4 linked regions of the Oreochromis niloticus genome follow. The protein of the gene in region 3 interacts with the protein of the main gene of each other region in a pairwise test. Links are inferred from orthologs where the notes say so. Each region holds a gene or a part of one and is shown on either strand. Other genes may lie near its edges. The genes, in order: gng4, cfap206, tfip11 and lats1.

Region 1 (7,634 bases), on a different chromosome or scaffold from region 3:
CTAACGGTTCTTAAGTGCTGACAAGGCAGGGAAACCGTCTTCTTGGGACGCCAACTTCACCGACTTTCTCTGACATCCTCCATTATCAGAAACGTTGTCTTCAATTTGGATATTGTACTAGAGCTCACTCCAAATAATGCTGCATCTTGGTTCTGCAGAACACCAGCTTGAAGTTGTCCTACAGCGCAAGCACTAAATCAGTCAAACGTGGCATGTTTGGATTGGACACCAACTGACCGCTGCAGCAGGGTCCATTAGCTTGCCAAGTTGGCAAGTTTTTCATGGGCGCAACCCACAAATGCACTTTCCTTACAAGTGGGACCATTTAAGGAGAAATAAACAAGATTTACAACGGTATAACATTTATTCCCAAGAGGCTTTTTGTTACAACAAAAAGAAATTGACCAAAGACAAATTTCCTTACTTTTTGTGCCAGGTTTATTTTGATCTACCTCAATACATCTGACAGCAAGCCAATTCAACCCCACTGTGGAAATGAGGATTCATTTAAAAATTAAATAAATAACATTCAAACAGCTGGGCACTGTAGTGTTTACCAACGGTGATTCAAACAGGAGTAATTAGTGCATTAATAAAGGATGCAGATTTAGTGCACGAGTGAGTATTTTAAACACGAGGAAAAGCCCATGCAGTGTGGCTAATCGATGCATTTTTCCCAGTTTTTGGACGACGGCACCATCAGCTCAGCCATTTCTTCTTTTAAACAGTGCTACTGTGTGCAAATATGAAGCCATGAGAGCCAAGCGTGATAATGTTGCCAATTGTAGGCAGCAAAGTTAATTTTGTGCTTTATTCAGACAAAAATGAGCAAAAATGAAATGCTTGCTGAGAACTGTCACTCATCGAGACGCGCCTATTGAACTGCTCCAAAATCCCAGCCGATGTTAGAGGCACACAAAGCTTTCAATTCCATGATAAGTGGAGGTACGGTTTTTGAGTAATTGCAGACTTGGTAACAGAAGTGATGTGAAAATATTTGTTCACGTGCGCAGACAATAACAACAATAAAGCTTTGTACCTTTATCCTATCCATGCAGGCCTCCATCTTCAGTTGCTCCACAGCTTTCCTGGCTTGGGAGATGCTGGCCGTGCTGTTGTTGGCGATGCCGTCCTTCATGGTGCTCCTGTGACGCCAAACAGATGCAAGGGGAGAGGGGGGGGGAAGAGAGTCAGTGAACGTCACATTAAATCAGCAGCCCCCCCCAGGCGAGAGCTCTACCCTGATGGAGCAGCAATTCTCTAGTACAACCTCACCCCTTCCTTTTTACACAGTAAAACTTGGAAGGACCCATTTTGTTTGTCCATTTATTATCTGAAGAAGCTGCTCTGTGGGCATCAGCTGGACAGCAGTTTGTCATTTTTCAGCCAGCACTCATGCATGATTGTTTTTCCTTCCTTTGTCACGTTATTCTTTAGACCAACTGGCTGGGGGAGAAGTTAGCAAGGAGTGCAGTGCTGGCAGGGATTAAGACACTAACACACACACACACACACACACACACACACACACACACACACACCTAGTGCTTTGCTCAAGTGCACTTCAGCAGGAGTTTATGCTGGTACACCTAGAAAAGCAAAGCACCTGCAGCTTTTCCCCAGTTCCTCCCAGGATCTGCAGATCTTTCCACTGCTGGCCTTCCTCCTCTCAACTTTCACCTCAGGAGTGCATCAGCTGCAGCTCTGCAGATCAATCCCCGCAATCACTAAATCTTACTCCCATTTTAGCCTCCTTGAGCCACCCCCACCCACCCAGTCACCACTGAAATGTCCCAGTTTGGCAGCAACGGCAGAAATATGTCCACAGATGTGTTTTCTAATAATTTGCCTTAAGAAATGAAGCATTTCACTGGAGGTGAGGGGTTGCTGAATCAATCCCCCTTTCTATGATAATATGCATTATTATTATTGCGCATCGATTCTTGATTAAAATCACAAAAAAAAATGTGTTTATCTTAAAGCAGACGGTCGAAGACGACAAATTCATCTGCCATCCCTCCAGCCTCCACAGCTCGACGGCCAATTTATAGCTTTTAAATCACACCCTCGTAGGAAGCCATCGGGCCTTCTCCGTTTAGGTTTGCTTTGGATGCATCCATCCTGAGGGTTGCTCGGCTGTATTCGCCCCTTTGCAGTTTTATCCAAATGCAACGATGCTGCTAATTGCTGATGCAGATCTGTGAAAACGCGGGCGACTATTTATTTCTAAGAGGAGATTAATCTGTGGACACACAGCGAGCTGCGGCCCTGGTTAGAGCAGAAAACAGCAAACCATGCATCATGTGGGGGGGAAAAAAAGGAGCAGCAATGATTTTTGCACTGATGATAAACATTTTGAAATAAATCCCTGCATTGGTCGGATACGCGCTCATTAATGTAGCCTGCAGCGGCCGACCTACCTGAAATGTGCCAGTGGTTTTCCAATTTGGGAGAATTCCGGGTTGACTCCACCCAACACACACAGACACACACACAGAGACGCGCGCACACACAAAGATCTGTCAAATATGAAACGATAAGAGGAAATCCCAGCCTAGCTTCGGTCTGGACGGAACCCGAGGAGCCAAAAATCTCGGCGTCTTTAAATGTCGCCTCGGCGGCTCGCTCAGTGCGTATTCCGTGTAGGAAGATGAGCTCCAAGCGGTGAGGTCTTGGTGAGCACCACGGCTGGACTTGGAGAGATGTTACGCAGCAGCAGCAGGGGGGGAAACCTCTGTATGACGATCAGATACAGGCTGTGGGGCGGGGAGCACTCGATCAGTGGACCAGGAGCAGCAGCAGCAGAGAGCCGGGATGAGCTTCAGCTGTCCAGAGTGGCCGTAAACGCACCGACGCTGCCTGTTAGTCAAATTAGGAGCGGCTGTTTCTAATTAGCTTTATTGCTGCAGAAGGCAGCGCAGGTCTGCAGGCTTTCCCCGTTTCGTTTATCATTTTATTTTCTATCAGCGTTGACATCACCGTGTCCCCCTGATGGCCTCACCCTTAACGACTGCACGCGCTCTTAAGCGTGGCTTGCATCCTGATAACTTTTAAAAATTTTAATTTGTTTTTCCTGTTCGTGCTTCCGATCTGATTTATGCAGTACGACACGAGTTTCTGCTTACTTTATGTCCCTGAACGCAACCCCTCCCCCCCCAACACACACGCACACAAAGAAATGGACACAATCAAATCGATGGAGGAATATTTCTTCAAATATTTATAGATTTTTATATATTTATAATATGCTTATCACTTGGTTCATTCAAACACGCACACACATACAAACAAAACTAAACATTAGGAACCTTCAAGATGCCAAAACTGCAAAAAAGAAAAAAAAAGAAAGAAAACTAGCAGGAGGGGCCAAAATACAACTTAAGCAACCTAAAACGATGATCTTAAATTATGCATAGCTTTAAGTCATTAACAGAAAAATATTTCCTTCCGTCAGAAAATCTCCTGTCACATTTTCTACCTGCTTTTCTTTTACATTAAAAAACAACAACAAAAAAACATCCATACAAACATACATTTGGGTTGAGAGGTTGTGGTTCACAAAGTTTTTTCATACATTTCACAGAGGAAATGTTCATACAGGAACAATCAGTAAACAAACACAGTAACATGTCCACGTAGGATCAGGAAGAAAAATAAATCAGGTCGATGAAGCGAAAAGGAATGAGTTAACAAGAAATAATCCCTTTCTCAAGTAAGTGTATGACGTTAGTCGTCACCGGGCGCTGCAGTCACCACAAAAGGGAAAAAAAACTAATTGTTTCACAGCTGTCTTAGAAAAAGAAACGAAATGAACCCTGGTTTCTTCCCACATGAAACAAGGTAGCAAAAACATGACCTATTGCATGTCTGTGTCTGATATTGCTTTCTGGATTTGATTTATTAGTGGAATTAAATCAAGCTCAGTTCGTGTTAAGGCCACAGATCATTGGCTCTACTTAAACTGAAGTAGCTGAGGGGGAAAAAAAAAAAAAGTGCTTCTGATTCTCGTTTAAGAAACCGTTAAGTGCAGTAACGTAAGTGGGAATGTAAAGAAAAGCTACATGGATCCTGGAGTGAGTTAAGAAAAAGAAACAGCTGCTCGGCCGTTTCCCAGACCGATGCATGTAGTGTATATGATATCAGCCGACGCAACGCTCTTTACTAAACACTCCCACACCCACTGCACCCTTTTAGTAATGCTGCACAGGTGCTAAGTAAGTGTGGGAGATCAGTGAGGATCACGGAGCATTCAGGAAATCACTCTCTCCTCCGCCTTCTTCCTCCTCCGACCGCAAGTATCTAACACAGTTTGTTAATTGCTTTCTCAAAAAAAAAAAAAAAAAAAAAAAAAAAAAATCAGCCCTGTAAAGTAGTGAAAAGTGGTTCTTGTGCATTTAAGCGACGGGTAAGACAGAGATGAGCCTCCATGGTGTTTTTAAAGAGCAAATGGACTGGTTTAACCAAGGGAGGCCTTAAAACAAGGAGCATCATTGCAGCAAATGTCACATCCACATTCACACAGTCAAGGGCAGCATCATCCTAGCATGCAAAAGCAGGACAGAACAACAGGCACCCACAAGGTCCCCTCGGTCCGTCCACTGAGGTCAGACACAAAGTGAAGCAGGTTCGTGACTCTAGTGTTCAGATCTGAGTGGAGCAGACAGCGCGGCGGAGGGACGTCTCACTCCTGCAGAGCGGGACCTCTCCTGGCGACAGACGCGAGGAGGGGGCTCCCCTCCCTCGCAGCCACTGCAGCGTCAGCAGGACGCGCTCACTGAGCTGGGGCGGCGATCTGTCAGACCGCACGCTGCAGGAGACGTGAGCGATGTCGAGGTGAGACACGAGGGTCTTCACACTTTGAGTCTGGCTTTGTCCAGACCATAGCAGCTTACCAGGAAACGGCTAAATCAACACCAGCCAACAAAAACACATCAGCAGGAATTAAAGACTCGACAAATGAAACGCACTCTCAGAAATACATCCTGTATAAAGTGTCTGATGCAGCCTCAGCCAAATACTCAACCATTCCTGCAAGAGTCCATTTTAATGTATTTATAAATATATACTTATGTACATATAATACTATTTTCAGAATCATTTCTTGATGCTGGGAATGGCGGCGGTAGAGTTTGCTCTGCTGGGGATGGCTTTATTTAAAAGTCAGGGAGGGTTCAGAGAGTTTGAGGACATGCTGACATGTCCTCCTCTCTATCAGTGCAGACAAGAGGAGGAAGAGGAGGAGGAGGAGGGGAGGTCCTCTTGCTGAGAAGTGGACAGGAGCAAACATCACACAAACACTCATCCTGCAGCATAGCTGCTCAGGAAGGAGTAGAACATGGGCAGCTTCATGCGCTGCTGGTCCCGTCGACACCACGCCATCACCGTGCCCTCGCTGTTGGCCGTGTAGAGGTGGTGGCCATCACACGAGTACGTCAGGCTGAGGCAGACACAAGAGGAGACCGTTAAACTTAAAATGCTGACGAGCATACAGGCGTGGCATAAAAGTACAAAGAGAACAGCGTGCTGTAAACAAACCTGATGATGGGCTTGCTAGACTTGGGAAATGTGATCTCTCTCACTGGTTTCAAATCCCAGGTGCTCCATAACCTGAAAACATATCAGAGATTAAAAAAATAAAAAATAAACCGTGCAGGGAGCGGGATGTCAAACTCATTTTACATCGTGGGCCACACGCAAGCCCAGTGGGCCAGACAAGTGAAACTCCTGTCAATCCAAAGAAATTTAACTACACATTTAATTCCTGGGATCTCTTAATATGAGAAAACCAGCAGTGCAGTTTCAACAAGACATCTGGGATTTTCTACATGACAGAAATTCTGCTGCAGTAAAAGAAATCTGCCAGCACGACTCTTTGGGCTTAAATCATAAGAAATAAATGTGTAAAATTACAATGTTCCTGTAGCTCTTTGCTCAGACTCAGAAAATTTCCTATTTTATTCTCCTTTTTTAAAAAACCTTCAGAGCTATTGTAACATAAATAAATAAATTCTATAGCAGAGAGTGAAAAACAGGAACTTTCTGTCATGTAACATTTACTTATTTACAGTTAGATCCATAAATATTTGTACAGAGACCACTTTATTCTAATTTTGTTTGTAACATCATCACAATGATTTTTAAATGAAACAACTCAGATGCAGTTGAAGTGCAGACTTTCAGCTTTAATCCAGCGGGCTGAACAAAAAGATTGCATAAAAATGTGAAGAACTAAAGTATTTTTAACACAATCCCTTCATTTCAGGAGCTCAAAAGTAATTGGACAAACTAAATAACTGAAAATAAAATGTTCATTCCTATAACTATATAACTTCTATGACTATATTTGAAATATGTTTCAGTAAACGTAAAAAAACAAGCTTGTGTTTGTGTCCATATTTATATGGACCTAACTGTATTAATTAGTTTGGTGAGTGACCATGGAGTGGATCTATATGAGAAGGAAAAGCTGAAGTCCAAAAGTTATTCCCTCCTCCGCAATTTCCAAAGCTGTCTAGTGGAACAGGACACAAATGTAACGGCAAAAGAAAAGTTTTGCCTACCTGACGACGCCATTCTCCAGCCCACCAGCGATAACATTGACAGACACGCCCTCCGGCTGGTTGGAGAAAGCCAGAGAACAGATGATCTCTCTGCAGTGGACATGCCCAATCAGGTCCCCGTTCACCGTCCACAGGCGAAGGTCGCTGCCTCCTCCCTCTGGAAACAAAAGAAGCAGAGCCATAACTCACACCAAGGACAAGAAGACACTTCAATAACCAGAAGATGAGACACGATAAACACTCGGGTTATAAAAGAAGACGCCCGCCCCCTCATACCTGAGTCACACACTGTTGCGATGTCCCCCGTGGTCTCGCTGGCAGACACAGCCATCACCGGGCTTTTGTGGCCTGTGAGACTCTGTACATAACAGAGTCTGGAAAACACAGAAGAGCTCAGCAACCACACAAACATTGCATAATGCATTTTCTTCTTCAACAAAACAAAACAAAACATAAAAACCTTTCAAACACACTGACCTGTTCAGGTCCCAGAGGATGCAGGTGCCATCATTGCTCACACTGATGAGGATGCTGTAGGGTTTGCAGACAAACAGGCTGGTGACTTCCCCCGTGTGCCCGTACAGGTGAACCTGAGATTCCACCTCCATCTCTGATGGCTATGTAGGGAAATACATGTTAGAGACCACACAGAGAAGCAATACAGATCCAAATGTATCTGTGACTCGTATATATCGCATCTTGCTTTTAATGTTTCCTAAAAATCTCCATTAATTAAACTCAAATTGCCCATCGGTAGCTGCTGGAAGTCCCTTTAGAGACAAAAATGGCAAATCCACATGTCTACTGGTGGGGACTGACAAGGTCTGAAAGCTTCTCTGATGACTGAACTCTGAGACCTCTAATCCCACTTATGGGCTCGGTGGAAATGTGTTTCAAGGGCAGCTGTGATGTGACTAATGAAGCTGAGCGTTTGAGCGCAGTGAGGCTGCCTAAAGAAGAGGGGGGGGGGGGGGGGGTGTAATCGGCGGTGGTGGGCGGTTTGGGTGTTCGTGTGGAGGCGGAAGGTTAGAGGGGGACGTCGCCATGGAAACGCACCGTGGTGCTGGTGAAGCG
Region 2 (6,941 bases), on a different chromosome or scaffold from region 3:
CAGGCAGGAATATGTTCCTGAGGCTCAGAGGGCAGCTGCAGGCCTATTTGTCCCTGTGGATTAGTCTAGTTTGAATGTCTGTGTTTTGAGAGCTCACCCACTTTGCAACTTCCCCACCCATTAACATGCTTCCCTCAAGAGAAATAAAGTATTGGTGGTTGTTCAAAAGCTCATTTACTCTTGGTGCTTGACTTTTTGTCTCTTAGATCTGGCATCATACGTTCCAGCAGCTGCGCGTGGAACCAGAAGATCACCCAGTTCTTTTGACTGAAGCAGCCATGAACCCCCTGAAGAATCGGCAGCACGCGGTTGAGATCATGTTTGAGTGTTTCAACGTGCCTTTCACCTATGTAGCCATGCAAGCAGTGCTAGCGCTCTACGCAGCAGGAAGAACCACTGGTACTGTAGTCGCTCGTCTTCACGCACTGATTGATGCACACGGATGATGGCTTGTCTGAAGACTTTGTTCAGCTTGGTGTATTTAAACCACTCAAATCTGATCCTATGATCCTACTTGTGTGTATTTGATATAGGTGTGGTGTTTGACTCTGGGGATGGAGTGAGCCACAGTGTACCTGTGTTTGAGGGATACTGTCTACCTCATGCTGTGCAACGCTTTCCCCTGGCTGGATTAGATGTTACACTGCATCTTAAAAAGGTATTCAGCACTTCTGTTAATGCCCAGTGTAGGAGCTATGTTATTGATTGCTTGGAAGGCATAATCCCTGGATGGTTCCTAATTTAGTTTAAAGATGAGGCAAAACCAGCTTGCTGTGCTTGTGCTTTAAGCTTCTCCGGGAACAAGGAGTGTGCATGCGTACCACAGCAGAGGAGGAGATAGTGAGGGAGATGAAGGAGAAGTGTTGCTGTGTCGCTCTCAACTATGAAGATGAGCTAAGTCGGGGGCAGTCATCCTGCAGAGAGATGCATTACACCATGCCAGATGGGCAGATTATTACCCTCGGCACAGAGAGGTTCAGGTAATGCTGGTGGGGTGGGGGGCTGCTTCCTGCTGTTTACCAACACTTAAGTCTTAGAAATGATCTTGCGGTCACCTTGCTTGTTGTATAGCACAGACTCTTTAGCAGAGTGTACCCCCTTTTCATCTAGGGCACCTGAGATTCTGTTCAAACCTGAGCTGATTGGACGGGACCATTATGGGATGCACGAAAGCATCTACAGGTCAATCCTCAGCACAGACATTGACCTGAGGCGCTGCTTCCTGGGAAACATTGTACTTTCAGGTAACATTTGGTTCTTGGTAAGGTGTTGCACTACAATCTGAAGTACAATGGTTTTCCAAATTCTGCTTCTATTTGTTTTGTCCTCTCTTCCTGAAGGTGGGAACACTCTGCTGCCCGGCCTGCCTGAGCGACTGCAGGATGAAATCAAAGGCCTGCTGCCCTCAGACATGGGGGGCAGTGTTTGTGTAACCAGCCCCAAAGATAGAGACTCCTCAGTGTGGAGAGGAGGAGCAGTGTTGGCAAATATGCCCACCTTTACCTCTGCATGGATCGGTCGGGAAGAATACGAGGAGTATGGACCGCAGATAGTCTTCAGGAAGTGCTTCTGAAACGACTGAAAGGTTGATGGCTCATTTCATCAACAGTGCCACTGGCTGCTGAGCCAACGGGACTCAGCTGTTGTCCCTCCGTTGTCCCTCTCTGTGGAATCTTTTGTTTTGTTTTTCTTAATTTTCTCTCCCCTGTTCTTTAGTGGAGGTTTCCTGCTTACACCTTATGCACTTCCTATACAGCCCACTAACACGGCAATAAGGAAGTTGATCTAAACGTTCCCATCCTTACTATTGTTGTTGCTATCACTATAAAACCTCTAAGTGTGTCTTAAATTCTAAATTTCTGTGTCCCAAGAACTTGAGCCTAAATATATTCATGTTCTGTGATTAAGGGGCTGGAACTGAAGCTGCCCTTTAATTCATGTCTGTCTTTGTTTCCAGAATACGCAGTTGAGAAACATGAAGAAATTTTGATGTGCCAGCTTTAAATTGTCCATTAATCTGATATTGTCAAAAACCTTATTTATTGGTTTTTTGCTTTTTATGTGAATCATGATACTTTGTTTTACACATGGTGGTCCAGCTGTAACCTGCTGTGATTCTTTGAGCACTGAATGTTGAGTATTAAGAGCTCTGCAGAATTTATTCTTAAATCTTCTGCAATAAGGGATTTGTCACAATGCAACTTTTAATGATTTCTTTAGGTAATACCAAATTTTCGTTGTAGTGGCTCGTTATAATATGACTCAGATTGTCATTATAACACATGACAGAATATATTTGTTTTGTTTTTTAAAAAAAATTCTTTTCTGTGCAGAATCCCTTGAATGGAGTGGCTCCTAATACTCATCAGATGGGTGCAGTGTACATGAGTTTTTCCTGAGGTCGTTGTTGGTTCTTCTCAGACCTCGTTGCACGTGTTGCTCTGGTACATTGTGAACTCTATATCTTTTTCAGTGTGGTGTCATTTCAGTGAGGGTTGTGTTGTTGTTGTTTTTTTTTTTGTTGTTTTTTTTTTTTTTTTTTTTTGTTGTTTTTTTTTTTTTTTTTTTTTGTTTTTGTTTTTTTTTGTTTGTTTTGTTTTGTAGGGGACCACTGTGTTTTACATGCATTCTTGCACAACTGATCCTTTTTGTGGACGCTGTTCCAGTGATGCCAAACTGCTCAATTCCTATTAATTCTGAAAACAAACAAAAACAACAACAACAACAAAAAAAAAACAAACCCCAGTGGCAACCCATGCTATTAGACTTGGTCAACACTTAAAGATTTTTATTATTTATTATTCTGTGCATGAAATTCAGTTGCATGAGTTTGAATTCCATGTGTGTGTGTGTTGTTTTGGACTTGTGTGTGTACTTTGCATGAGTTTTGTATTTTTAAGTGACTGTCTAAAAGCACAGGGTTCGTCATGTGGCCTAGAGCTTTGCTCTTATGTGGAAATTACTGAACTGTGACAGCAGGAGCTGCCGTTTGTGGCAAGTTTGAAGTGAACAGTCTCTAATGGATTGTGTGGTTCTTCTCCTAATTGTACTTAAAAGGCTGGGCCGAGTCCAGCAGTGTTTTTCCTGAACCATGTCATTTTATTTTTTTTTATTTTTATTTTTTATAAATAAATATTGTAATCATCATCCTGCTGTGCTGACTTTGTTTCAGTTGTAGACTTCTCTGAATGTTTAGGCTAAAACGGAAATGGATCTGCTTTTTCATATTTGCCTAAATGAAACCGGTGTGTTCCTGTGTTGTCTGATAATGAAAGGTAAAAGAAGACCTTCAAGTAAACCAAATATAAACAGGTGGAATGGGTGTTAGCTCAACCCACTACAACTTCCAAGCTAGCAAGACTGATCTGTTAATGGTAGCATTACCAGTGCCTATAAACATACACAGCATCCAGTAAAGACAGGCCTAATGATGACAATAATCAACTAAAGTACACAGTCAAAACTATCAGGATGGATGAAGACTTACGGGTGAAACTTGGAAAATTTGAATATCGTGCAAAAGTTTATTTCAGTAACTCAGCTTAAAAGTTGAAACTAATATATGATATAGACTCATCACATCCAAAGCAAGACATTTCAAGCCTTATTTTGTTACAATTTTGATGATTATGGCTTAATAACTTTAAAAGTTAAAAGTATTTTGGTCTAGACAACACAAAATGTGATGTCCATATATGTGGATGACAGGTCCTAGGAGGTTAACGCTGATACTTGAGATTTCATCTATGTACTGAAGTCTGTTCTTCAATTGAGGGTATTAAGGGTATGTCCTTAAAGATGGGAAAGATGTTTAAAAACTTGGAAGGCTCTTCAAATATAATTTTGTATATATATATTTGGTAATCTTGAAGCATTAATGCCATTAGATATGAATGGATACAGAAATGTGGCCCCCCCTCCGCCCACCAGCATGGACTCTTGCGATGCCGCTTCTCTGCAGTCTTAATTGGTCATCTCCCATGTGTCACCCTCTCCACGTGTCCTGAAGCGATAAAGACCCTGAATGCCGCCAAAACATCTAAACACGAGTCACGGTAAAAGCTCATTCCGTTATTCGAGTCTTGTTGGCTCTGGTGTGTATGCTTTTAATTTTTTGTTTGTATTTTTCCCCCAGAACTTAAAGGATGAAGAGCAAACTGTAGCGCACTCTAGTGGATACCTGAAATGAATCTTAGCAAATTTGCACCGTTACTTATGGCAACTGCTTATCAACAATCCGCCATAGGTCCGCCGGTAGAAATGGCTCAGGCTGGTGCGGAAAGCCTGCTTAAAACCGTAATCGGGCACATTGTGCACGAGTGCAGGCTGAGGGGAGACGCGGTGTCGGACACGCTGGCAGCTTTTATGGTCGGTAAAGCAAAGTAAGCACTTAGTCGTTGAGCTAACGCTGCTGCTGTACACGTTCATGATGTTTTCAAACATCCACAGGTGACTGCTGTGGTGCTGGACCCAAGAAATGGCTTTAATGTTGACAGGACCCTTACTAAAGATGATGTTCAAAAACTCGAAGAGGTGAGCTGCTTTATTTCTTTTTCTAATTGGTTTTAGTGGTTCTGAAAATCATTGTGTATGTTTGAGTCGAAGTTCTGTTCTGTTTCAAAATTAGGCATTTCTTCCCCATTTAGTGAGGGTTATGGGAGAAAGGCCAAGAGTTAGACGTTTCCTTTTAACAGGAGGCAACTTCAAACAGGGAGTGGCAGCTGCGCTCTCCTCTTCTGAGTCCTGATGTTTTAGATCCTGTTTTTTTGTGGCTATTTCATTTACTTCTGTAGTTTCTGTTTTTTCCTTGTTTTTGATTTCTCTTTATGACTATTATTCTTACTCAATAATGACAGTAAAGCAAATTTTTATTAAGATATATTAGACTTGTTACTGCTGAATCTGACTTCACCCCTTCTTCGAAAGCTTTTGGTGTAAGACTAACACAAGCAATGATGGTAATCTATTCAGTTCAATTTATTTTTATTCATACTGCACCAAATCACAACAACAGTCGCCTCAAGATGCTTTATATTGTAAGGTAGCCCCTACAATAACACATACAGAGAAAAAACCCAACAATCATAAGACCCCCTATGAGCAAGCACTTTGGCGACAGCAGGAAGGAAAAATTCCCTTTAACAGGAAGAAACCTCCAGCAGAACCAGGCTCAGGGAGGGGGCGGCCATCTGTTGTGACCGGTTGGGGTGAGAGAAGGAAGACAGGATTGAAGACGTGCTGTGGAAGAGAGCTAGAGATTAAGACAAGTATGATTCAATGCAGAGAGGTCTATTAACACATAGAGAGTGAGAAAGGTGACTGAAGAAGAAATACTCAATGCATCACGAGCCTACACCTATTGCAGCATAACTAAGGGAGGATTCAGGGTCACTTGATCCAGCCCTAACTATATTCTTCCCGTATCCAAACTTGAAGCTGGTTCCATAGAAGAGGTCCTTGAAAACTGAAGGCTCTCCCTCCCATTCTACTTTTAAATACTCTAGGAACAACAAGTAAGCCTGCAGTGAGAGCGAAGTGCTCTAATGGGGTGATATGGTACTATCAGGTCCTTAAGATAAGATGGGGCCTAATTATTTATGACCTTGTATGTGAGGAGCAGGATTTCGAATTCAATTTTGGATTTAACAGGGAGCCAATGAAGTGAAGCCAATATAGGATAAATATGCTCTCTCTTCCTAGTCCCTGTCAGTACTCTTGCTGCAGCATTTTGGATTAACTGAAGGCTTTTCAGCAAGTTTTTAGATAATAATGACTTACAGTAGCCCAGCCTAGAAGTAATAAATCCATCAACTAGTTTTTCAACGTCACTCTGAGACAGGATATTTCTAATTTTAGAGATATTGCGCAAATGGAAGAAAGCTGTCCTACATATTTGTTTAATATGTGCATTAAAGGACAAATCCTGGTCAAAAATGACTCCAAGGTTCCTCACAGTGTTACTGGAGGCCAAGGTAATGCCATCCAGAGTAAGAATCTGGTTAGATACCATATTTCTAAGATTTTCAGTGCCGAGTACAATAACCTCAATTTGATCTGAATTAAGAAGCAGAAAGTTAGAGGTCATCCGGGTCTTTATGTCTTTAAGACATTCCTGCAGTTTAACTAATTGGTGTGTGTTATCTGGCTTCATGGATAGATAAAGTTGTGTGTCATCTGCTTAGCAGTGAAAATGTCTCCCTCTGCAACATGTCTTCCAGCTGTGTCTGGATAAACTCACAGAAAAGTGCAGCCCATCCCTTGACACTATCAAAATGCAGGTGTACTTTGACATGAATTATACCACGAAATGTAAGTATAAGCTCATTCTGATTTTATGTGGCACCAATACATGTATGTAATGCATGTTAAGCTTGCTAGAGGTTGTTCATTTTTTTTTAGGTTTATTTTGCTATACAACATCTGTCTAGTTTCTAGAGTGACATCTACAAATGCCAATGACCAATTATTAGCATCCATCTAGTTTCATCTTATCTGAGTTCGGTTTGCAGAGGCAGCAGTCTAAGCAGAGAAGCTCAGCCCTAACTCTCACCAGCTACTTGTTCAAGCTTATCCAGGTGACATAATCTTTTCAGCGTATCATTGGTCTACCCATGGTCTCCTCCTGGTGGGACATGCCTGGAACACCTCACCGAGGAGGCATCCTAGCCAGATACCTGACCCACCTCAGCTGGCTAGTTTTGTTGTGGAGGATTAGTAACTCTACTCTGAGGCCCTCTCAAATGACTTAACTCCTGTTTCTAAGGGAGAGGCCAGCCACCCTTTGAAGAAAGCTTATTCTTGTCGCTTGTATCTGCAATCTCATTCTTTTAGTCCCTACCCAGAGCTCGTAACTGTAGTTGAGGATGAGAATGTAGATTGACGGGTAAATCAACAGCTTTGCGTTTACAGACCAATAAAGCATCCACATTGCTGCAGCCGCA
Region 3 (7,800 bases):
GCCTGAGAGCATACGTGACTCTCTCTTTCAAAGGAAAAAGTAAAGCATGCTAAACCCCATTGTTCTCAATTTCCCCCAGTGTCTCAGTCCAACATCCGACATTATTCTGGAGCAGATGGTTCTTGTTACGGGGATCAGGAACATTACACAGAGGTAAATATTCATAGTGGGATGGCATACCCAGTGTTAAAGCAATGTGACAATGCACGTCTCAAGAATGGACCCAAAAATGGACTTTAGAAATGATGTTTTAAATTCTAGTTGGATTGTATGTGGCTTACTTCAGTATTAGCATTTCTTATGTATAAACCCACTTATGACATGACTGTTTTCACAGCAATAGGTTCCAGGAGTATAAGCAGAAGCATCTGGAGCTAAAGGCTGCAGTGGTGAAAGAGCTGGGACTTAAACTACCTAATGTCGGCTCAGTGGCTGTGAATGAAGGAGGGAAACGTTCAGATCGAGAAACGGGATGTGGGAAGGAACCAGAGGGTGGGGGAAACCCAGCAGCAGCAGAGGATACAAGCAAGTGCCAGCAGGACCAACAAGTAGAAGGATCTCTGGAGAGCACTGGGAAGGTTTCAGCTAATGGTCATGTGATTGAGCCAGCTAAGCAAAACCAGCAAAAGGAGAAAACCAGTGCAGAAGGTGACAAAGCGGCCTCTGATAAGGTCAACACGGTAAATGATGAGATGGAGTCAAGCTCAGGCGAAATAAATGGAAGGATGGACGTCCCTGCAAGCCCATCGGCCCTGAGAAGTGGCGTGAGCTGGGCAGATGTTGTTTCAAAGTCCAGAGGCAAAGCTACAGCCGTAAATGGAGAAGGAGATGGCAGCACTGCCGATGGAACAGCTGAAGAATGATCACGAAGCAAACAAAGAGTTGTAATCGAGTTTTCCAAAGTCACTGCTGTAAGATTAAAAGCTCTTCCAGTATTTCCTGATGAAATTTGATCCAATGAACAAGAAGGACAGAATGAGTATTACTTTATGCTGAAGATTTTACCCTAGTACTGACTCTAAGAGGGTTTAACCTTTTTGTTTTGTTTTTCAATAATAAACTTTTTACCTTGTGTATTAAAAAGTGTGCCTTCAGGTTTTGTTTTGTTTTTTTTTTTTTAAATGCACTTACATGACATGACTTTATATCATGTTAATGTGAATTTTAAAGGTATCAACTCTATTCATCTGTAAATCAGGATGCATGTGTCCTAATAAACCGACCAAATTTGAAGTTCTATTTGTACACAGGTGAGCTGAAGCACTGGAAGGTAGAAGACTGTAAAATAAAAAGGGTTAGCTTTTATAAAATCTTGCTATTCTATATAAAAGTTGAATCTGACTGGTTCAAACATAAGAAATACAACTTATTGTCTTTATATACTTAAATTACCAATGTAACAGTTCAACCCTATGAGAATTTCCATTCATGTGAATATAAATAAAAAATTTGTAGAGTTGATAAAGTTACATTTTTGTAACATGCTAATGTGTGTTTGCTTCTTGGTGGGATGTGGGTTTTTGTTTTGTTTTGAACATCTGACTGTGGAGACCAATTGAGTTACAGTATTCAAGAAACCAGTTTATAATTTGAGCTTTGTGACATGTTATTTTGCTTGAAGCAGCCATCAGAAGATGGGCACTGTGGTGTTTAAATAATGCCCAGTTTGCACTAAAGAGCCAAATAAGTGTCAAAATCTCCCAAACAACACTACGAGCCTGAATTCTAGATGTAAGGCAGGACGGATCCATGCAAATCACTTTCCATGTGAATTGTAGCCTCAGTTACCTGTTCTTAGCTGACAAGAGTGACAGCCGGTGTGGTCTTCTGCTGCTGAATCTCACCTGCTTCAACATTGTGTGTTCAGATATGCTCTTTTGCATACTTTGGTTGTATCGTGGCTAATTCAGGACCAGATACATAAAATGTTACAGTTCTATTAAAGAATTTGTTACAGCTGAATAAAGTCAGACTTTATGAGCAGGATTTGTTATTCAACAATTTAATTCTTGTGCTTTTCTTGAATAGATCGCATGGTCCACAGTTCAAAATAATCCTCATTTTATAGTGGGCCTTCATGCCCAGTCCCTCAATTTGTCACTGTTTGTAAAGAAGCTGTTTTAGCTCTCCTCCATTTTATGCCAGCTTTCTTTTGATTGGCTTCTGCTTACAAACAGAGGGTTTGAACAGTAAGTGGGAGGGGCTTCTGTCCCTTACATCTGGAACTGACCAAATTAAGGTTCCCTGATGGTCTTAAACAGCGAGTTTAGGGCAGTCTGATCCCTGAGGTTTTAGCTCACTGGAAAACTCTGAAACGTGGTCAGTGTTTAATATGAAAACCCATCATTGTCACCATATATAATTAAGTAAAAGTACAACAGGTCCATTAAAAAAAAAAAAAAAAATTGTCATATGAATGACAACAGTCAATAAAAAACGTCCCATATCCATCTCCTGCCTCAGCTCCGAGTTTCCTTCAGTATAATCTCCAAATCAGGGCTGTGCTGGTACTGTGGCTCAGGTGACTCTGCCCAGGTAGACTGTGGGAGACCGTTAAGGCTGTTGGAAGGAAATGTGATGACTGCTGTGTCATTGAAGACGTCTATCAGATGAGATGGGCATGCGAGCTTTCTCTCCACACTAAAATCCACAGCCTTACTGATGTAGCTGTAATCTCGCTTAAACTCTTTCTCGATCGTCCTGTTGGGGAAACAGACAGATGTCAACTTCATCTCCACTGCTCTTGCTTAAACGTTGACTCCATCGTGCACGTGTCTTCTCGTACAAACCTCTCCCTCATCCCAGTGAAGCTGTTTCCGATGATTATCATCAGAGGGAGACCCCGTGCACTCCAGTTCTTCCACAGAAGGTTGTTGTAGAGGGCTTTCCCACAATGCATAAGGTAAAAAAATGTGGGTTTTTCTACCAAACGTTTCCCCTCCTGAACAATACAGACACACAGGATCACACACTGTTTGCACAGTCTACTCCCCTAAACAATGTTGTAGTCCCCATTTTCAATATAAAATGGATAATAAATAATAATATAGTTGAAATTTGAAAGAACTGTAAAGTTTTATGTACTATATGACACAGTTCTCTTTAGTATATGCCTATTAACAGTGTTTGACTTAATTACCAGGACAAAAAAAAACATGAGGGAGCAACAACTGACCTCATTTTCTGAGAGTACAGTCAGACCCAGGTCTCTCAGAACATCTCTCTCTCCAGAGGAGAAGACTGGATCATAGACAGAGCAGTCCTTTAGAGGAATCTGAAGAGATATTAACAGGGAGAAACATAATATGTATAACAAGCAGGGTCTGGTGTGAATGTTTGTCATCTAACTGAGGATGAAGCCTCCCCTGACCTGTCCTGCTTCCAGTAGAAGAAGCAACATGGCAAGCTGGTAGCGGGCTGAGACACAGGAGGCAAACGGACCGAGACCATAACACACACACTCCAGCTGCTGGCATGTCTTGGTTATCCGCTCCGGCTGGTCCTCAGCGTCCTTGTCCGCTGGAGATTTTGAGAGAGATGCTGATGCCGCCACCAAGAGCTGCTCTAAAGGCAGAAAGACAATCACACACACAGCTGCAAGCCAGATGTTTGGTGGTAACCCCAACTTTCAAAGCAAAACCTACCCTTCCAATCTTGCCAAAACTCTTTGCATCTTAGTTCAGACCTGCAGAGGTGAAATAAAAGCAGAGTTATGGGACTGTGGTGAAGATGAGACGTCCGAGGTGTTGCTGCTGAGCTACACTTTAATTTCATACACGGTGTCTCTGATGCGTTTAACAGTTTTCCCGACGTCCAGCGGCTCCTGCCCGCATGCTGCAGACACCTGAAGAGACTTTGAGCTCCTCGACGCACCTTTTCGTCGCCGAGCCACCCGCCACTCCCCTCCGGTGTCCGACATTTATGCTAACTTAGCACCAATACCCCAGCATATCATTAAAAAAAAAATACTCGTCCAGTTATCAAAGAACGAAAAGCATTTTTTTTTCTTCAGTAGACAAGTGACCAACATGTGGGAATATTTTGGGTGTAACACGCGTTTCCTCTTCCGGCGTTACGCCAAATTTGTAGTCCATCAAATAATATCCACCTGGTGGTGGTGTGCGGTCATTAAATTACTTTACAAATAATGCACAGCTCGGTTGATTTAAAGAAACTGCGACATTAATTTTTTGTATTTATTTTAAATATTATTATATATAATTATGTATATTATTGTGAAGCAAACTAGAAATTGCCCCGTTGTTTTTAGCTAATTTTGTTTATTAATACATTCTCATATAGGACTTTGGAGGGTGGTTTTATGTATGTTTGTATGTACTTATTTAATATTTTATTTAACCAGTGTGTCCCAAATTACAGATCCTGATTCACTTTTATAGTAAGAGAAGTCAGTGAGACTTTTATCTTTAATAATTTTAGGTATTCATGTTCAAATATTGCCTCAAGTTACTGCGAAATAATATTCTGAAAGTGGGTAGGCACATTTTTTCTAAATAAATAAACACATAAATACATTTTGAAATGTAGTTGATATATTTAACATATGAACCTTTCTTAAACTAATAGGATGATGTAATATGAATTTCTACTAACCTGGGGGAAAAAACTAAACTGAGTTTATATACCGTGTTTTTATTATTATTATTATTATTATTATTATTTACTACTGAAACGAACATTACTTCACAAAATAAATGAGATAAACGCATCTTTGCCCTATCTATGCCAACAGTCATTACTAAGAACCAACGAAATTTTTTAGAGGGGTACAGATTTTGGTGTAACACCATCATACCGGAAGTACTTGTGTTGTCGTGCACTAAACGAAGAGGCTATTGGCGTTAGTGTGGATTACTTCTCATCGTTTTTGAACGAAAGCATGTCCAATTGATCTCCACGCAGACCTTTATATAACTGTTCAGGTGCGTTAGAGAACACGGTGTTTACACTGCTTGTCAACACTCGAGATTATTACGTATAGCAAGACATTTATGCTGTAGAGGGTAACTAACCTTAGCTATAGCTAGTTATCGTTAGCTTACATTGTGTTTTCTCCACAGAGATGAATTTGTTCGGTGTCGTTAGTGTCAACTAACGAACCAAATATTTGAGATAGTGATGTGTGTGTTTAAGACGTGTCTCTATAAAATAAAAATTTTCTTTAAATTTATACTGATCTAATTTTTGCGACACTGTTGCTGATCTGGAATCTGCAGCAATAGAGCCTCAAAGTGTGGACAGGCTGACAGATTAGTTCAGATAGGATGTTCTCAGACAACGTTGTGGTCTGTAGTTAGAGTAGGGAGCAGGTGAAAGAGAGCCTGGACAGCTGGAGGTGTGCTCTGGAGAACAGAGGACATGTGAGAGAATGAGAGAGAGAGATGGGTGTAAAAGTAACGACGAGGAGGGATAGTGGTTTGATATGGAATGCAAGATATAGAGCTGCCAGGCAGGAGGAAAAGAGGAAGACCACAGAGGAGGTTCATAGAGGAAGTGAAGGAGGACATGCAGAGTGTTGCTGTGCTAGAGGAGGATGTTAGGGACAGGGTTAGAGGATCTGCTGTTGCGACCTCTAAAGAGAGCAGTTGGAAGAAGAAAAATGTTATAGCTCGAAAATATTATGTTTTATTATAATGTATTTGACTTTGTTTTTCCCTGTGCTCTGAGCTACAACTCATTGCTTTCAACAGTAGATTGAGTTTGATCTGTTGCTATGGAGATGGATGTATTTTATTATTCTGATCCCATGTCAAAGGTCTTTACCTAACCTTTAAACGAGTAGAGCAAATTTATTTGAAATTACTTACATTTCTTTAAATTGTGATTTTGTTCATTATGATCTCCAGAGATGTCCATGTCACACCTATATGGGCGGAGAGATGAGGAGGAGGAGGGTGTTGAGGTTGAGAGCTTTGAGGTGACAGACTGGGACCTGGCCAATGAGTTCAACCCAGACCGCCACAGGCACAGGCAGACCAAGGAACAGGCCACTTACGGCATCTGGGCTGACAGGGATTCAGACGAAGATGAGAGGCCCAGCTTTGGTGGCAAGAGGTGAGGCGTGGGTTTGTTTTTGCTGTTGCCCACAGCTTTAAAGTCGGCCATTAGTAGGAGATTGAGTTTGCTGTCTGTGTTTTTATTGCTAGATCTAAAGACTACACTGTCCCAGTGAGCTTTGTGAGTGCTGGTCTGCGAAAGACGGGAGCAGAGGAGAAACAGCTGAAAGGGGAAGGAGGCTCTGACGACTCTGATGATGATGGTCCTGCAGCTCCTCCACCTTCTCGTGCACCCAAAAAACTCCAAATGGTAAATTTGGTTATGTGTGATTTGTTTGTGTGTATATTGCACATAAATATCTCAAAGAAGTTTATAGGAACAATTACATGCTGAGTTGTTTTGCTAGGGTAATTTCCGTGGGAATCAGTCACAGAGGTTTGCAGGTGGCATACAGTCTGGACAAGGCATTGGCAGCTGGGAGAAGCACACTAGGGGAATTGGGCAGAAACTACTGCAGAAAATGGGCTACCAACCAGGAAAAGGCCTGGGAAAGAATGCTCAAGGTAGGAATGGCTGAGGAGGCAACAATATTGAAGTATTTAAGAGTATTGTGTGTATTTTAGAGCTGATCTACTTTGTTCTTCCATGCTCTCATTGCTGCAGGTATTGTAAACCCTATTGAAGCAAAGGTTCGTAAGGGAAAGGGGGCAGTCGGAGCCTATGGAAACGAGCGAACTCCGCAGTCTCTCCAAGATTTTCCTGTGGTGGACTCTGATGAAGAGGAGGAAAAGGTAAAGTGTGGACAAAATTTGGCTTTTCCTTTTTCTACAAGTAAGCAGATGTTGAATTGTAAAGTCTTTTTTTTTTTCTTTTTTTTTTTACATTAATCTAAATTTGTGCTGATGTAGGAGTTTCAGAAGGAGCTGGGCCAGTGGCGTAAGGATCCTGCAGGGTCGGGAGGAAAGAAGAAACCGAAGTACTCCTACAGAACTGCAGATGAGCTCAGAGCTAAAGGCAAAGTGGCGGGGCGGGCTACAGCGGCATCTGCTGGGGAGCTGGCACAGGTCAAGGTATTAGTGCTTTTTTGTCCTTTCTCAGAGGTGTGTTATAAGGGCACTGTGGCATGGTTGTTTTTTACAGCAAACTTTAGCAGCTAAAGTTAATTGTAGTCAGTATTAGACTCTATGGGTGAAGTTGTTTGGTGTATCTATGTAAGCACATGCACTCTGCTATTATTGTTTGTTTTTTTGTTGTTTTTTTAACCTTTTTTACCCCGTACCTGCCCCCGGTGCCTAGGTGATAGACATGACTGGAAGAGAGCAGAAGGTGTACTACAGTTACAGTCAGATATCCAACAAGCACAGCGTTCCTGATGAAGGTCCACCAAGCATGTCTACTCGGGATCAGAAGGGATCAGGCTTTGCGCTCCCTGAGCTTGAACATAACCTTCAACTGTTGATAGACCTTACAGAACAGGACATAATACAGGTATGAGGATACCAAAATTGTTTTTCCAAATATATTTGACTATAACTGAAATACCTTCTTATTAGATCAGCAAACTGGGGCTTCCTTTATAATTTAGCAGATTTTTATTATTTATTTTTTTAATCTCTTTCTTTTTTCATATAACCCCGGTATAGTCTGCCAGACGTCTGCAGCATGAAAAAGACGTTGTTGTTTCTCTGAGCCACGAGTCGAGAGCCTTGCAGAACAGACTGGATACGGAGCAAGATGCCATCCAGAGAATGGAAGCTGTGCTGGCATTAGTGGAGCGTTTTC
Region 4 (6,996 bases), on a different chromosome or scaffold from region 3:
GATCTGAATGTCTAGTTCCACCACATCCCAAAGATGCTCTATTGGGTTGAGATCTGGTGACTTTGGAGACCATTACTCAACCAGCAGCTTGACCTGTTGATACAAGGAAGGATGGCTCTGTGCTTTTACATTCTTTACACCAAATTCTGACCTTACCTTGTGCATGCTGCAGCCGAAATCGAGACTCATCAGAATAGGTGATGTTTTTCCCAATCTTCTGTTGCCCAGTTTTGTTGAGCCCATGTTTACTGTAGCCTCAGTTTCCTGTCTTCAGCTGACAGTAATTCACTGGATATTTTATCTTTTTAAGACCATACTCTTTAAACCCCAGAGATGGTTGTGCAAGAAAATGCCAGTAGACCAGCAGTTTCTGAAATACTCAAACTAGCCTGTCTGACACCATGACAACCACATCATGTTTCTTCCCCATTCTGATAATCAGTTTGAAATTCAGGAGGACCATGATTACATGCATGCACTGAGTTGTAGCCATGTTACTGGCAGGTTCTTCTTTTTGTTGTAGCGAGCAGTTGAACAGGTGTACCTAACAAACTGGCCCGCGAGTTTTGGGTCTATCCCAGGGTCCCCTCCCGGTCGTGCGTGTCGCGAAAACCTCCAAAATGATCCTGATCAGATCGACACAAAGCAGTGGTGATTCTACTCTGAGCTTTTATTTTTAAACGAAATATATTTAAACTAAAATATCAGGAAATTAACACGGTTGTATAATTGGTATTTAATGATCTATAAAGTCAGTCTTGTGCAAAACAGGAATATGTTGTAACGAACCAGACTAGACCAGTAAACTGAACTGGACCTCACTCTTAACCCTTGACTAGAGATAACAAAGTGTAGACTTGCAGAGTTTATCTACAGTGGGAGGGAATTTGTCTTGCTTAGCAGTAAAAAGTAGTTTAACTGAACCTTTCTTCAGCGTCTTCACAATAAAAGTATGAAACCAGACATTTGTGTATAAAATACTTAACACAAAGATTCAAGCAAGAAACTACAGTGGACCAGCTCCTTACATAGGGTGACAACCTCGGCCATGTCATCAAACTAAATTACGATAAGTTTTAGTGAAGCCTTATTCAGGAGGGGAATGAGACAGACTGCTCAGTGGGATGCTGGATTCATTGGATTCACTTCTTGTTTCAATTCTCTTGCCTACAGACCATTTCGGTGTCTCAGCTCTGGGCGAGAGCACATCGTTATCCCTGTGACAACGCTCCCTGCACCAGCGTCGTGTGCAGCAGCCCGGAAATTGTTACAGTGGGTGAAGATGGTAGGATCATCGTCTTCAGAGCTGACCAGGAGGGAGTGGTTCGAGTCATCGGTGAGCTCAAGAAGCAGAGTTTATTTTTAAGTTCTGTGAAACAAGTTGAAACTAAGATCTTTATTGGACTGTTTAACCTTTGACAGAGAATGCCGACAGCAGCACAATCCATGCAGTGACTTATCTGAGGACCACAGAGATTTTGACGGTGAACTCAATCGGTCAGCTCAAACTGTGGGACTTCAGACAGCAAAGCAACTCACCATCACAGATTCTGTCCCTGTAAGAGCTCTAAAAAAATGCATTCTACAAAGTTTTTTGTTTTCTCCTTCCTGTTTATTTCAATTATAAGCAAGTCTGATGAGTTGATTTCTGTTCATCCAGGTCAGGGGATCGAGTTCCTTTACACTGCGTGGACAGACATCCGAACCAGCAGCACATCGTGGCCACAGGAGGCCAGGATGGCATGCTCTGTGTGTGGGATGTGAGACAAGGCAACACGCCCTTCTCACTGATGGAGGCACATACGGCTGAAAGTAAAGTCGGCTTATTGTGGGAAGATGTATTAAAACGTAAATTCAAAGATGTTGTGCGCGTAAATAATGGTTTCATACGTATGTCTTTGGTTTTCCTGACAGTGTGGGAGGTCCACTTTCACCCAACCAACCCAGATCACCTGTTCACATGTTCAGAGGATGGCTCGCTGCTGCACTGGGAGACATCCTCCCATTCAGACATGCCTTCCTTCTTACAAGGCAAGTCAGCTTTGTGGTATAAATATGATTTTTTTTTACACTATTTACCAACTAATTTAATTTCCTTCAGAATGACATTTTGAGCCAAAGAAAAAGCTCGCCGCTGTCATTCAAAGCTGTACTCCAGCAGCAGTGTGCCCAAAAGGAGTTTTAATTGTTGTAAATGGACTGGTGGCTATATAAGGCTATTCCACTCTGAATGAGCACTCGAAGCGCTTTTTACTACAAGCATCATTCACCCAATCACACAGAAACATCCATACATGTGCTTTTTTCCAATACCTAAGCACCTTGTCTAATATTTGTGCACACACACACTCTGATTGGTACATCGGGGGCAATTCACAGTTCGGTATCTTGCCCAAGGATACTTCAGCATGCGGACTGGAGTAGCCAGGGACTGAACCACCAACCTTCCAGTTGGTAGACATCCCACTCTGCCTCCTCATTTATGTACAGAGCAAATAAAAGAGGACCAAGAATAGATCCTTGTGGAACACCTGTACAAATGGCAAGAGTTACAGCCAATACTGTTCACTGTCTCACACTCAATCAGCCAGGAGTTAACAAGTTGGCCTGTAAATTTCCTCAGGAAACTATTTCTTAATAAAATAAGAGTATAGTATTAATTCCTCTGTGTTCATAATGTAATAAGTGTTTTTGTATTTTTAGGGGGCAGAAACAGCAGCATGGTCTCCCGCAGTGCAATGGCTCCAGCCGGAGGAAACCAGTCCCTGATCAGTGCCTGGCTAAGTGGAGACTCCAGCAAAGGCCGCCTGGAGACGACTCACATGCTGCCCAGCCAGACGCTGTCCGTCAACAGCCTGGACGTGCTCGGTCCGTGTCTCGTGTGCGGCACCGATGGAGAGGCTATTTTTGTCAACAGACAGGTCCCGGTTTAAAAGCGATGTTAGTGCCTCAGACTGGATGTGGATGAAGATGTTTATTTGGTGTCAGCTTGAGGGTCATACAGGAGGTGTAAAATACTGGATGATGAGGCTGTTGGCTTTATTTGTTTATTTGTCTTTTTCATCACGGACAGAATTGTTCAACCCAACAATGGTTTTTGTACAGATGACGTTTAATACAGTTATAAAATAAAAATACTTAATAGAAATGTCTCAAGCCTCATTTGAGCTGTTTTCTCTCTTTTTCTTTTTTTAATAAATACAGAAATTCAAAGTTGATCACTCATCTTTTCATTACGTTCTTAGAAGATCAACTTCAGCTCTAACTCAGCATCTAGATTACAGTTTTCCCAGGGCTATTTCCAGGCCTGCTTTAAAAGTTAAAGTTCCTAGTCAATTATGCATTTAAAATGTATGAAAATATAGTTAAAAGTCCAAAATGTATGCCCTCCTTCACATCTTCCAAAGGTGTCCAGTGGGCTCGATCGTCTTTTGCTGGCTCACTATATTCAACACTCCTAAATTAAGGGTTACTAAAACTATTTTTACATGGCTCCAAAATTTCTTTGCATAATGTTGTGTGTGTATTGTAATGGATTTTCAGGCCATCTTAAATCTTTCCCATGTCAAGTGCCCCTGTGCTAAAATAAAAGGAAACCTCAAACGAATACCCAAGCCAATAAAAACGTAAAAAATCGATAAATAATTACTTAGTTATATTAAATAAATAAATACATAATGCCATGATATTTGGAGTGATTATCTCAGAATTTCGAGTTATGTATCTAAAAATTTTAACTTATTGAGAAGTATCGAAATTTGGCGTCAGTAATCAATAAGTCAAGTTATTAAATCTAAATTTCAAAATAATAACGCGAAATTTTGACTTACATGCTTTTTTCTTCAGTGGTTTAAACGAGTTTCCATGCACTGGGAAATTAAACTCAATTGAAAAAAAAAAAAAAAAGGTCTTTTACATTAACGGAACTTTATTTTGAAAAACGGAAGTATTCTTCGTTAGCTTTATTTATAGCTTGGAGCTGTTGTACTTGTCATTCAGACATCCCAGGAATCCTACACGACTAGCCAGTCAGCACGGCACAACAAGGACGTTTTGAGCTAAAACTGCGTCCTTGTCACCGAGGAACGTCAAGCAATAGTCTTTACCCATTGAAAGAAGGAAATTGTGGCGGAAAAACGGCAGCTGAGGGTTCTGGTAAGTTGTCTAACTGTTGTTAGTTGTGCTTCGAGCTAACAGGCTAGTTCGCATCCTGTTGTTGAATTAGCCTAGAAGCAAATGGATGCCTTTAGCACACAGGCCGCGGAGGCACTGCTGAGCCGCTGGATTTAACACAGAGAAAACTTACGATGGCAGAAGCTTACGGATCGTTAGGTAGTTGTGATTTTAATGGCGAATTTGTCGGATGTATTTGGCATTTTATGCTAGTATCTGACGCAGGATCGTTCGCGTTAGAGCAGCACTCTGTTAGCGAACAGTGCTAATAGCGCTAGCAAGTGGGTGAGTTATTGATTTGTAATGGAAAACGGTTTCGTCTGAAGGTTTAAGTTTTATACACCACAGTTTAGCTTGTAAATAAAATAAAAAGCAACGAGATCCAGTTCTGTTTTAGCTATTGGCTACTACTAATTCCCATATTTTATGTTTATCTGTAAAGTAGTACACTCACATTCTCATGGATAACATCCACTCTATATTTTTCCAGCTGCAGCATGCAGATGTGAGCTCAGACATCAAAGATCCTGTGCTATCACTGCAACTCTGGACTGGTGAAATCCTCTTCATCCCTCTTCATCGTCATCCTACATGCTCGTACATGAAAAGAGGGGAGAAACCCGAAGGATACCGGCAGAGGAGACCCAAAACGTTTCCCGTCACGAACTACAGTGGCAACAGCCAACAGATGCTGCAGGAAATACGGAACAGCCTGCGCAACCTGTCGAAACCGTCAGACCCACCTAAAGTGGACACTGGTGCACAAGGGAAGATGCTCCCAGAGGATTCAAGGCAACTGGGTCGCAGCAGCAACCCGAAAAACCCTCACCACAAAACCTTACAGGAGATCCGTGAGGCCCTCATGCCTTTTAAAAATGAGCCCAACACTTCAGGCTTCCAGCGGGAACCCCGTTTTGCAGGGCTCGAGGAGGTGAGAAATGTTTTTAGATATATCTGTGAAGGTTCTCAGTCATCCAGGTCATCGTAGTCAAAGGAGCTTGCAAAGAAAAGCGTCTGGACTTCTTTAAGTTAACTGAAGAACTGAAGAAGCTTCTCGGATGAGAGGTGAAAGGTCTTCAAGCAACTTAAAGAAGTCCAGACGCTTTTCTTTGCAAGCTCCTTTGACTGTTTTTAGATATAGTTAGGGATTGTTTTGAATGATTGTGGAGGTATGACGTTCTGTGCATATCTCTGTAATTGAGGGTAATCGCTGGGAACAGATTGTTTTGAGTGAAATTATTTAGAAAATGAGAGGCATGCAAAGTGGAATTACAAGCTTGTACAGTTCAGAGTAAAGAATTTGTTTCTCAGTTGGCATTTACAACTTGTTTTGAGTAAGTGCATGCAATCCAGGTATGAATTTGGTATGTAGTCCTTTAGTCAAAGTATGTCATAGTTGATGTAAATTTGTTCATTTAAGCTACAATTTTGGCTTTCACAGGTCATTAAAATAAGATAACTGACATAAAACTACTATTTATGATGTCAGTATTAACTAAAGCACCTGTGATTATGATTTTTGCCATAATTAATAAGCCCTGCAGTTAAAGAGGTTGTGTGACTGGTTCTGTTTGTCTGCTTGTTGTTTTTATGTGTTAGCAAATTACTCAAAGTTAAGGACAGACGCCTGAAAATGTTGCCAGTTGTGTGACTTGGCACAAGTTAAAAGTGAAGAACTTTTTCTTTTTCTTTTTTTCTTTTTCTTTTTCTTTTTTCATTGCAGTCATTCCATTTGCACAACTTACTCTGGAAATGCTCTAGATGCAGATCTAATATGTCACCATGTTCTCTTTCCAACTACTCCCAGTCTGTGGTTTTAGTTCCACCTCATCATCAGTCAACACAAATCTTTGCTCTTGTGTTTTTTTTGCCATTGTTCTTGTCTCTGTAGTATCAGTACAGGAGGATTTTCTGTGTTTGTTTATAGATTGCTATTCAACTGTTGGACAGAACAAAACAGTGAATTAAAGATGTCACTATAGGCCTATTTGTGTCTTATTCCTCTTTTATTGCTCAGTTCTAAAAAAAAATTGTGTTCAATTTCTTTTTCCCTCTTAAGCCAAGCGTCAGTCACGGTGTAGGGCCGGCTACAGACTACATGGGTAAGGTTGTTTCCAACCCCAGCTCTGCAGGCCTCAAACCCCCAGGTATGTCAGTCCTCTGGGATTAACTGTTGCTTCTCCTGTTTTATCATCCATCCAGCCTCAATATTGTTTGAGGGATTTGGGACATTTGCTTTAAGAAATAACTGTGCTGTTGACACACAGCATGAGTCACTGCATCACTGAAGGGAAAAAGTTGACTGGAAGGTTTTGGGTTTTTATTCTGAGTGGTGGTTGTGACACATTTTAAGGATGAAAATATTGTCTTTGTTTAGTAAATAAGCAGTTTATAGGGCGTCTGTATTGCCTAGTTATTACAAAAAGCAAACCCTAAAAGTTCTCATTTATGCAAGTCTTTATCCACCATGCCCTGGAGTAAAGGATTGCGTGTGAGTCACTGACAAATGTTTAATACAAATCCTTTATAAAACTTGTGTCAAAAGGATTCCCAGGTTCATTCACACAGTTGTGAAATTGAGGGCATTTTGAAGGTGTGACACATTAATTGAAAGGGGACATACGAGTTCATTGAGGGAGAAAGGCAACACGCAGTTAAGCAAGGTAAAGAGCCACTTGGAAGTCAACCATCCACTCTAAGAGAATCTGAGGCAGCAGAATAATTGGTTGAAATTATTAAAGTATCTGGCTAGGTGACTGAGGCAAGGTTCAGATGCCTCAATTGGGCTGAGAGAAGTGGCTTTTCCTGACGGTATGATCAAAG

What was found.
Region 1: the proteins of tfip11 (region 3) and gng4 interact in a two-hybrid assay, tested with the Homo sapiens proteins (2 studies listed by BioGRID and IntAct). The two-hybrid records come from large-scale screens. The link is inferred for Oreochromis niloticus from reciprocal best matches to the Homo sapiens genes TFIP11 and GNG4.
Region 2: the proteins of tfip11 (region 3) and cfap206 interact in binary tests that used the Homo sapiens proteins (3 or more experiments, as listed by UniProt). The two-hybrid records come from large-scale screens. The link is inferred for Oreochromis niloticus from reciprocal best matches to the Homo sapiens genes TFIP11 and CFAP206.
Region 4: the proteins of tfip11 (region 3) and lats1 interact in a two-hybrid assay, tested with the Homo sapiens proteins (2 studies listed by BioGRID and IntAct). The two-hybrid records come from large-scale screens. The link is inferred for Oreochromis niloticus from reciprocal best matches to the Homo sapiens genes TFIP11 and LATS1.

Annotation. Positions count from the first base shown.
Region 1 is NC_031978.2:23,724,635-23,732,268, forward strand, and holds the start of gng4 (guanine nucleotide-binding protein G(I)/G(S)/G(O) subunit gamma-4), read right to left. Parts: upstream 3,017-7,634; 5' UTR 2,421-3,016; intron 1,146-2,420; 5' UTR 1,139-1,145; coding exon 1,040-1,138; intron 1-1,039. UniProt on the Homo sapiens protein: Guanine nucleotide-binding proteins (G proteins) are involved as a modulator or transducer in various transmembrane signaling systems.
Region 2 is NC_031980.2:28,784,635-28,791,575, reverse strand, and holds the start of cfap206 (cilia- and flagella-associated protein 206), read left to right. Parts: upstream 1-3,921; 5' UTR 3,922-4,024; coding exon 4,025-4,094; intron 4,095-4,135; exon of another isoform or gene 4,136-4,185; coding exon of another isoform or gene 4,186-4,246; coding exon 4,247-4,368; intron 4,369-4,449; coding exon 4,450-4,533; intron 4,534-6,218; coding exon 6,219-6,309; intron 6,310-6,941. Other genes in the region: uncharacterized protein LOC100698705, read left to right, coding at 207-399, 534-658, 790-980, 1,111-1,244, 1,341-1,573. UniProt on the Homo sapiens protein: Essential for sperm motility and is involved in the regulation of the beating frequency of motile cilia on the epithelial cells of the respiratory tract. Required for the establishment of radial spokes in sperm flagella.
Region 3 is NC_031977.2:17,583,289-17,591,088, reverse strand, and holds the start of tfip11 (tuftelin-interacting protein 11), read left to right. Parts: upstream 1-4,797; 5' UTR 4,798-4,943; intron 4,944-5,867; 5' UTR 5,868-5,869; coding exon 5,870-6,075; intron 6,076-6,167; coding exon 6,168-6,327; intron 6,328-6,424; coding exon 6,425-6,581; intron 6,582-6,681; coding exon 6,682-6,809; intron 6,810-6,926; coding exon 6,927-7,088; intron 7,089-7,314; coding exon 7,315-7,506; intron 7,507-7,661; coding exon 7,662-7,800. Other genes in the region: si:ch211-166a6.5 (clustered mitochondria protein homolog), read left to right, coding at 80-153, 338-863; srrd (SRR1-like protein), read right to left, coding at 2,460-2,700, 2,790-2,941, 3,176-3,274, 3,371-3,564, 3,645-3,685, 3,777-3,919. UniProt on the Homo sapiens protein: Involved in pre-mRNA splicing, specifically in spliceosome disassembly during late-stage splicing events. Intron turnover seems to proceed through reactions in two lariat-intron associated complexes termed Intron Large (IL) and Intron Small (IS).
Region 4 is NC_031980.2:17,320,868-17,327,863, forward strand, and holds the start of lats1 (serine/threonine-protein kinase LATS1), read left to right. Parts: upstream 1-3,978; 5' UTR 3,979-4,155; intron 4,156-4,663; 5' UTR 4,664-4,774; coding exon 4,775-5,104; intron 5,105-6,232; coding exon 6,233-6,320; intron 6,321-6,996. Other genes in the region: nucleoporin Nup43, read left to right, coding at 1,174-1,336, 1,423-1,558, 1,661-1,812, 1,915-2,031, 2,704-2,933. UniProt on the Homo sapiens protein: Negative regulator of YAP1 in the Hippo signaling pathway that plays a pivotal role in organ size control and tumor suppression by restricting proliferation and promoting apoptosis.